Linked DNA regions of Saccharomyces cerevisiae S288C. The gene in region 2 interacts genetically with the main gene of each other region. Each region holds a gene or a part of one and is shown on either strand. Other genes may lie near its edges.

Region 1 (3,445 bases), on a different chromosome or scaffold from region 2:
TTCCGAATTATTGCCAGTATCTGACAGACTAAACATTGGTATTGTCCATGTTGGTGCCCCATCTGCTGCTTTGAACGCTGCCACCCGTGCCGCAACTCTATACTGTTTGTCTCACGGCCATAAACCATACGCTATCATGAATGGTTTCAGTGGATTGATTCAAACCGGTGAAGTGAAGGAACTATCATGGATTGATGTCGAAAACTGGCATAACTTGGGTGGTTCCGAAATCGGTACGAACAGATCTGTTGCTTCAGAAGATTTGGGTACCATTGCTTACTACTTCCAAAAGAACAAGCTAGACGGTTTGATTATTCTTGGTGGTTTTGAAGGTTTCAGGTCCTTGAAGCAATTGCGTGACGGTAGAACCCAACACCCAATCTTTAACATTCCAATGTGTTTGATTCCAGCCACTGTTTCTAACAACGTTCCAGGTACTGAATACTCACTTGGTGTTGATACCTGTTTGAACGCATTAGTCAATTACACTGATGACATCAAACAGAGTGCTTCTGCGACAAGAAGAAGAGTCTTCGTCTGTGAAGTCCAAGGTGGTCACTCTGGTTACATCGCTTCTTTCACTGGTTTAATCACTGGTGCTGTTTCAGTGTACACTCCAGAAAAGAAGATCGACTTAGCTTCTATCAGAGAAGATATAACTCTATTAAAAGAGAACTTTCGTCACGACAAAGGTGAAAACAGAAACGGTAAGCTATTGGTTAGAAACGAACAAGCTTCTAGCGTATATAGCACTCAATTGTTGGCTGACATCATCTCTGAAGCAAGCAAGGGTAAGTTTGGTGTTAGAACTGCTATCCCAGGCCATGTTCAACAAGGTGGTGTTCCATCTTCTAAAGACCGTGTCACCGCTTCCAGATTTGCTGTCAAATGTATCAAGTTTATCGAACAATGGAACAAGAAAAATGAAGCTTCTCCAAACACTGACGCTAAGGTTTTGAGATTCAAGTTCGATACTCACGGTGAAAAGGTACCAACTGTTGAGCACGAAGATGACTCTGCTGCTGTTATCTGTGTTAATGGTTCTCACGTTTCCTTCAAGCCAATTGCTAACCTTTGGGAAAACGAAACCAACGTTGAATTAAGAAAGGGTTTTGAAGTTCACTGGGCTGAATACAACAAGATTGGTGACATCCTGTCCGGTAGATTAAAGTTGAGAGCTGAGGTAGCCGCTTTAGCCGCTGAAAACAAATGAATGATTGCAATGAAAAGTTTAAGTTAAGCAAAAGGAGGTAAAAATGGCATGCACTTTAATTTTTATACAATCGTTTTTTTGTCATAAGACTTATTTATGTATCTGTTGTTTTTCTTTTTCTATCCTCTATTTTTGTCTATTTGTCTTTGTTTTACTCTTTTTCATTATTATTTCTTTATATAATTTTTGTACGATATGATACACATAACAATGAGCAATGAACATATTTCTAATCCTAACCATTAGATATACTTTTCAACTGAGGAATAATGGCGCCTTGATTAAACTAAGCTATGGAATTTGCATTATTCAAGTTTTAGGGTGTGCTTAATCTGCGTTGACAATGGTTCACGAAGACGACATCGGCAACTTTGCTGTACTACAAATTGCTCTGAATGTGAGGCTGATCCACATCATAGTGAGGCGCGCTACCTTAATTGTAGTCGTATTGTCATCGGTCTACGAATACCGTTTGGTTTATTTGTCGGCCTTTTTTCTTTCCGTTTCTTTTTATCTTTCCGCTGGAAAAATGGAAACTAGTGCCGATAATCGGAGATGGGATGACTAAATATTTCTTTAAGGCATTGGCAATGTTCAAACCTCTGATAGAACGGCAGATATATATTTAAGAGAATATAGTCAAGGTTGACGCCGCATACTTTGGTTTTGTTTCAAAAAGAAACAGGTGAAAAATTATAAAGACCAAACTAGAATACCATGCCCAGTGTCTGCCATACAAGCCCGATAGAAAAGATTATCCAACAAGGGCATCGCATACAGAATGATTCCTTAATACCGTCAAAACGCACCAAGCTGGCCCATACGGAATTAACAGCACACTATGCCACTGAAGACTCGCATGTGGAAAAACACTTTTTGCATAATGGTAGTAATTTTGACGGCATTGACAATGTAAGGTATCAAAATCAACCCTCTCCATTAACCTTCATTACTCCAAACAACACTGTAGATTCCAGTGATTGGGTTCCGCAGTTCTCGTCTATGAAGATTGACGATTCACTAGAGTTTAGCTCAGAATATAAAAGGTTGTATTCCAATTACGAGTCACAGCAGCGCCTGAATTCAAGCAGACAACACTTACCTTTTAAGAATTGTATGATAAGGAAGACAAGTTGCACTTACCCACCTCAAAAGACGCTTCGACAGCAACGCCAAGGAAACCGGGACAACCCAACGGATGCGTTTCAATTCGACGCGGAGTTCCAAGTTTTGGAGAGAGAAATTCAAAAAGAGCGGTACGAGCCCATAACACGTCGGGACGAGAAATGGTTCGACCAAGATCAGTCGGAACTGCAAAGGATTGCCACAGATATAGTAAAATGCTGTACTCCACCGCCTTCGTCTGCATCCTCCTCTTCTACTCTTTCCTCCTCTGTCGAATCAAAACTATCTGAGTCGAAGTTTATTCAGTTAATGAGAAACATTAGTAGCGGTGACGTGACTTTAAAGAAAAATGCAGATGGAAATTCCGCAAGCGAGTTATTCTCATCCAACAACGGGGAACTGGTCGGAAACAGGCACATTTTCGTCAAGGACGAAATTCACAAAGACATACTTGATTGATATAGGCAGTTTCTACAATTGTACCTCTTGTAACTACTACATACGTTGATATATGTTTACAGATAGCTAAGAATATCAAAATCATGAATATGTGCCCTTATGTGTTCTCTGCGCTGAGGAGTATCGCAGCTTCACTCCTGCAGATGCATGCCCTACCTACTGTCATGCCCATCTCTCTCGTTTAAAACTTACTACACCTTTTTTGTGCATGGATTGTGCTGATGTAAGCTGCACGAAATGACACGCTTGTGAATTTTTTCTTCTCTTGGGAGAAACTGTGAAGAAAAAAAAAAAAGCTTCGCAAAACCCGAATTAGTCTCGAAGGAAGTAATTACCTTGTGAAAGGGTCTTTTGGGATACTAATTTATTATGAAGTTTGGTTTTGGTGTTGCTTGCTCTTTTTTTTTTCAATTTTGAAATGCGTACACGTGAATTTTAGCATAGGTTGTAACAAAAAAAAAAAATGATTTGGATGAGGCAGGCAACCCCTTAAGTAGCTATGGTACCTTTCAAGCTGACAAATAAGGTACCTACGGACACGGGACCTTCTCTGATTTCAGCGCAAAGTGTACCCAGACCAATAGTTTTTATGGATAATCGAAACAATACGCGAATAGTAACACCTACGCTACCTCCAAACCAGCATAG
Region 2 (3,366 bases):
AGTTTTTTGACATTGAAAACATACGTGGCTCCAATGGCAGTGCGTCTGGAGACATGAGGGCACTTGATAGATACGATAATTATCTGAAGGTGAGATGCAGGGAGTTTGGTAAAATCAAAAAGGACTATGTGAGAGACGGCTATCGAACACTGAAGCTGAACAGTGGCAATTACGGAAGCTCCAGAAACAAGCAACACTCTATCAATATAGCACTAGATCATGTGGAGTCCCTAGAGGTACAAATACAAGCCCTGATTAAAAACAAGTATACACAATATGATTTGAGTAACGAATTGATCATATTTGGTTTCAAGCTGCTTATTCAAGACCTGCTAGCGCTATATAATGCTCTCAACGAAGGTATCATAACTCTGCTGGAGTCTTTTTTCGAACTATCTCATCATAATGCAGAGAGAACTCTAGACCTGTACAAGACGTTTGTTGATTTGACCGAGCACGTTGTCAGGTACTTGAAGAGCGGGAAGACTGCGGGCTTGAAAATACCCGTCATCAAGCATATCACTACCAAACTGGTCAGATCGCTAGAAGAACATCTGATAGAGGATGATAAGACGCACAACACTTTTGTGCCCGTTGACAGTTCTCAAGGAAGTGCTGGGGCCGTAGTAGCCAAATCTACTGCACAGGAAAGGTTGGAGCAAATCCGGGAACAAAAAAGGATACTAGAGGCACAATTGAAAAACGAACAAGTAGCGATTTCCCCTGCTCTAACTACTGTCACGGCGGCTCAATCTTACAACCCGTTTGGAACAGACTCTTCTATGCATACTAACATTCCAATGGCTGTGGCTAATCAAACGCAACAGATCGCAAATAACCCATTTGTATCTCAAACTCAGCCACAGGTGATGAATACACCAACCGCTCATACAGAGCCCGCAAATTTAAACGTTCCTGAATATGCAGCGGTCCAACACACAGTGAACTTCAACCCTGTACAAGATGCTGGCGTAAGTGCCCAACAAACGGGGTACTATTCGATTAACAACCATTTAACACCCACATTTACAGGTGCAGGGTTTGGAGGATACTCCGTTTCACAGGATACAACTGCCGCTTCTAATCAACAAGTCTCTCATTCACAAACTGGTTCTAACAACCCGTTCGCATTGCACAACGCCGCGACGATCGCAACAGGGAATCCTGCACACGAAAATGTCTTAAATAACCCATTTTCACGACCAAACTTTGATGAACAAAATACCAATATGCCGCTACAACAACAGATAATAAGTAACCCTTTTCAAAACCAAACGTACAATCAACAACAATTTCAACAACAAAAAATGCCTTTGAGCTCGATCAATAGCGTTATGACAACCCCTACTAGCATGCAGGGATCGATGAATATTCCTCAGCGTTTTGATAAAATGGAATTTCAGGCTCACTACACTCAGAATCATCTCCAACAACAGCAACAACAGCAACAGCAACAACAGCAACAGCAACAACAGCAACCACAACAGGGTTATTATGTGCCTGCAACTGCAGGAGCCAACCCTGTTACAAATATAACTGGGACAGTTCAACCTCAAAATTTCCCTTTCTATCCACAACAGCAACCACAACCGGAACAGTCTCAAACACAGCAACCAGTTTTAGGAAACCAATATGCTAACAACCTCAATTTAATTGATATGTAATATCTAGTATAATCAGGTATGTAAGGGAGTACTCAAGTGCATCTTTGGATAGCTATATATAGTTGTAAGGAAGAGCTATGTAATTTTTGCCATTTTGTACATATTTTGCATTTGTCCTATAGTATGTAATACTTACATCTTACTGTCTTCAATTCCTCCCGCCAACAAAAGATTTCGATAGCGCCGCACCATGGAGTTTATATTGTTATTTCCGAGACGACCTATATAAGGGAAAAGACGAAAACTGGGTATTTGATACTTGTCTAAACTTCAATGGACAAATGATATAAAATACAAACAATGAATAGTAACCGATGCCAAACGAATGAGGTGAATAAATTTATTAGTAGTACAGAAAAGGGGCCTTTTACGGGCAGGGACAATACGCTCTCTTTTAACAAAATCGGGAGCAGACTGAATTCACCACCGATTCTGAAGGATAAAATTGAGCTGAAATTTCTACAACACTCAGAAGATTTGAATCAATCACGGTCCTACGTAAATATTCGTCCTAGAACCTTAGAGGATCAAAGTTACAAATTTGAAGCGCCAAATCTAAATGACAATGAAACTTCTTGGGCCAAGGATTTTAGATATAACTTCCCTAAGAATGTTGAACCGCCCATCGAAAATCAAATCGCGAATCTTAATATAAACAACGGGCTACGGACATCTCAGACAGATTTTCCCTTAGGCTTTTATTCACAGAAAAACTTTAACATTGCTTCCTTCCCTGTGGTTGACCATCAGATATTCAAGACAACAGGTTTAGAACATCCTATCAACAGCCACATTGATTCTTTAATTAATGCTGAATTTTCGGAACTGGAAGCCAGTAGTTTGGAAGAAGATGTCCATACAGAAGAGGAAAATTCAGGTACGAGTCTGGAAGATGAAGAAACTGCCATGAAAGGTTTGGCTTCCGATATAATTGAGTTTTGCGATAATAATAGTGCCAATAAAGATGTAAAAGAAAGACTAAACAGTTCAAAGTTTATGGGGCTGATGGGCAGCATTAGTGATGGTTCTATAGTTTTAAAGAAGGATAACGGTACAGAAAGAAACCTTCAAAAACACGTAGGTTTTTGTTTTCAGAATTCAGGAAACTGGGCTGGTCTTGAGTTCCATGATGTTGAAGACAGAATTGCTTAACGGGCCTTGAAATTTCTTTAATTTAAACCATGAATTTCAGATATATAACACTTTTTAACCACTTTCAAGAGAAAACAGTATTAAATTACATACTGCGTTCACAGCTATACGTAAAAAGAGTGACAAGTGAAGAATAAACGTCATTTTGAAAAAGGAATTAGAAGTCTGTCATTTCAACTGAGTTTTTGACGGAGGAATTATCATTATCGGGTTCTCCAATAAAACTTAGCTTGTTACTACTTCTTTTACTTTTTTTTTCTCGTGTTCGATGTCCACTTTCATCTGTGAGACTATTATTCCCAGCATTGTCTTTCTGGAACTTAGTTGTCGTTTTAAATTTCCTCATGTTTAAACTAGAATCGTCGCCACTATCTTCTGCTTGCCCCCGGTTCGTAATTTTATGTGTACTTTTTTTCTGTTCATGCTGTCTATCGCTTTTATATACAGGATCACATCTGTTATCAGTAATAACATCATTATCGTTTTCTTCTTCTATACCGAGTAATCCGGCCTTGACATCGCTAACAAAGCTCCAAAGCGACCTGGAGAC
Region 3 (2,906 bases), on a different chromosome or scaffold from region 2:
CATAGGCTTTAATAACTACTCAGTTTTTTTTGATGGCGGCAGAAGCAGCGCTTTCATTGCTCTACACAAATCCGCAATTCAAGTGACAGACGCCAAACTAGTGGTACAGTACACTTACTGAAGCGCACCATGTATACCCTGATCTACATCTAGAGCTTGTTCAGTTTTTCTTTATGCTTTTAATTACGCCAGGAAGAAAACCGTTCTTACGTGGTGGATGAAATAGGAGAATTCGGGTTTCTGGGAAAACTTAAAATTTCTTGTTGGAAAAGTAGAAAGAAAAAGAAAAGTTTGCCTTCTGAGAAAATGCTACATATGGTAGAGACATCAATCGATTGCTCAACACGCGTTAAAAAGGGGAAAGTGATTGCCACTGTGATCACTTTAAATCATTTCTTCGTTCTCATTCTTTTCGTCTAATTTTCTTCTCTACCACTCATTATACCAGGCATTTTATCTACATCAAAATTTGTTTTGAATCGGATCATATCATGAATAGTACCGCCGCTGCAATAAATCCAAATCCAAATGTTATACCATTCGATGACACATACATTCTCTATGATTCGCATGACTTTCTATCATTCCTTAGTGCATATTTCTCGCTGATGCCCATCCTAGTGCTAGCTTTTTATTTGTCGTGGTTTATCATCACAAGAGAGTTAGAAGCCTGCATTGTAGCCTTTGGCCAATTGATGAACGAAATATTCAATAACGTGATCAAGAATATAATAAAACAGCCACGCCCCGTATCGTTCGGTGCGTCGTTCCAAAATGACACTATAAGATCCGGTTACGGGATGCCCAGTGCACACTCCCAATTCATGGGGTTTTGTTTTACCTATAACTCTCTGAAGATATACACTTCCTGGAAGAATCTAAACTTCTTAGAAAAATGCATTTTTTCTGGTGCATTGGCTTTATTATCGTTTTGCGTTTGCTTTTCCAGAGTTTACTTGCACTACCACAATTTAGATCAAGTAATCGTGGGATTCAGCGTGGGGGCACTGACTGGATCACTTTATTTTTTTATAGTTGGCATCATAAGAGAGCTTGGTTTAATCAATTGGTTTTTAAAACTACGTATTGTCAGATTATTTTACATGACAGATTCTTACAATCTGGCGCCTTTGACATTGAAAGAGAATTACGAGGCGTATTGGAAAAGAATAAATCAGCGATCTTTCAATGATAAATCCAAAAGGGATTAGGTTGAACATTTCATTTTTCTTATTTTTTCATCTATTTTAGCGAGGCGATCTTGAGCGTTTGTGTAACTGGATAAAACTTGGCAAGCTGGAGTAGTCCTTATTTCTCATAAAGAAAGCCGAAAGCCTGCTCTCCTACAGTTATTAATTAAGAACGCTCGTTTTAAACAGTTACTGTGTAAAGCGACGGTAATCGAAAAAGTATGTGACATCGTGCAAAAGAAGATAATCAAAACCATGCAGAACGTAGAATAAATGTGAGTTCTATCACTTGCGGAGATAATACCCTCTGACGCCGCGGGGCCGATTGTTCCACGGAGGGAAAGAATCGGCCCTCGGGTTTTACGAGAGCGCCGCGGGTGAACTCACTTTTTTCTCGAGAAGAAGTTTCCTACGGCAGAATAAGACCCTTTTCCACGGATAATCAGCGGAGCTTCTGGACATAATAGATGGTTTGTGAAAAAGCTTAAGGAAAGCCGCGGATTTAGCATGTCACCCACACTTAGATTACGAAAGCAAGGATTGCAGAAAAAAAGATGAGATACAGTTTTGAGGGCAATATATAAAATATATAAATATAGCAACATTCCCTTCTCTCTGTTATGTCCACAATACTTCTAAAAGTTGTAACATATATCTATACATAAAAACTTGTAACAAACATATAATTAAAACAACTAGTGACAAGACGGAAGTTATAAGTTATCTTCTCTACAGAAACAATACGTAATGTTACTCACACCAGCCAAGACTACAAGAACGGAAGACTCAGCAAACTCAACAGATGACAGCAGTAAAAGCAGTAATTCATTCATGCGTGCCATAGTTTCTTCCCTTATGGTTAAGCCCATAACATCTCTGACTAATACAGTCACATGCAGACAAAGTTCCCATCACAATAGCTCTCCAAGTAAAATCACAAGATATGATTTAATCAAAGCTGCTGCTGAAAATGACTTGAAAAGGAGTAAGTCTCAGGGACGAGAAAAATCCAGAAGAAACTCTAATCGTAGAAATAATGAAGAAATTTTTGTGGCCAATACTGCTTCAGAAATCCAACGGACTAAAAGTAGCATATAGCAACCCTGAGGTCAATGTGCTTAACTACTTCTTTGCATCTTCATTGTCTCTAAAAAGATTCATATCCTCATATCCATTCGCATCTTACTCATCTTCATAATCACCCTATGTACATATATATATTGTCATAAATATACTAATAATTAACAATCACATTTTAATATTGGAAGTTTTCTCATTTTCTTGCATTGAATTCATGCATCTGCCGCTCAGCTAGAAACAAGCGCATTCGTCTACCAACCAGCCCTTGAGACCCGAAGGCAGAATGTGAGAAATTACAATTTTATTTTTAAAGAAACTAAACTAAACTAAATTGAAATTGATAAAAAATATACATAAAAGAAACACAGGATTTATTTATTGTATTTTTTGTATGATCTATGTTAAAGTCGAGCTAGTTTATTCCAATTTACCACCCTTTCTTTGGATCAAAGCCTTTCTGTCCTTGTCCAAGTGTAACTTAGTGATAACAAGCTTGGATGGGTGCAAGTTAATTGGAACGGAAGCACCGTTGACCTTTTCCTTGGTGACCTTGTCAACTTGAACAGCAAACTTCAATCTGTAAACAGATGAAATCTTACCTTCTTGACCCTTCTTGGAACCACGAACAACCAAGAC

The links.
Region 1: mutations in PEX18 (region 2) and PEX21 impair growth when combined (synthetic growth defect), as found in Saccharomyces cerevisiae (3 studies listed by BioGRID, with this or other methods).
Region 3: mutations in PEX18 (region 2) and YGR035C together harm fitness more than expected from each alone (negative genetic interaction), as found in Saccharomyces cerevisiae (2 studies listed by BioGRID).

What each region holds. Positions count from the first base shown.
Region 1 is NC_001139.9:968,539-971,983, reverse strand, and holds PEX21 (Pex21p), read left to right. Parts: upstream 1-1,930; coding exon 1,931-2,797; downstream 2,798-3,445. Other genes in the region: PFK1 (6-phosphofructokinase subunit alpha), read left to right, coding at 1-1,213; KEL2 (Kel2p), read left to right, coding at 3,297-3,445. UniProt on the Saccharomyces cerevisiae protein: Receptor that mediates peroxisomal import of proteins containing a C-terminal PTS2-type peroxisomal targeting signal via its interaction with PEX7.
Region 2 is NC_001140.6:418,671-422,036, reverse strand, and holds PEX18 (Pex18p), read left to right. Parts: upstream 1-1,964; coding exon 1,965-2,816; downstream 2,817-3,366. Other genes in the region: YAP1801 (Yap1801p), read left to right, coding at 1-1,664; TDA11 (Tda11p), read right to left, coding at 2,974-3,366. UniProt on the Saccharomyces cerevisiae protein: Involved in peroxisome biogenesis and the import of peroxisomal matrix proteins that contain the peroxisomal targeting sequence PTS2. Required for peroxisomal targeting of PEX7 and growth on oleate.
Region 3 is NC_001139.9:556,454-559,359, reverse strand, and holds YGR035C (uncharacterized protein), read left to right. Parts: upstream 1-1,937; coding exon 1,938-2,288; downstream 2,289-2,906. Other genes in the region: CAX4 (dolichyldiphosphatase), read left to right, coding at 492-1,211; YGR035W-A (uncharacterized protein), read right to left, coding at 1,574-1,795; 60S ribosomal protein uL24 RPL26B, read right to left, coding at 2,688-2,906.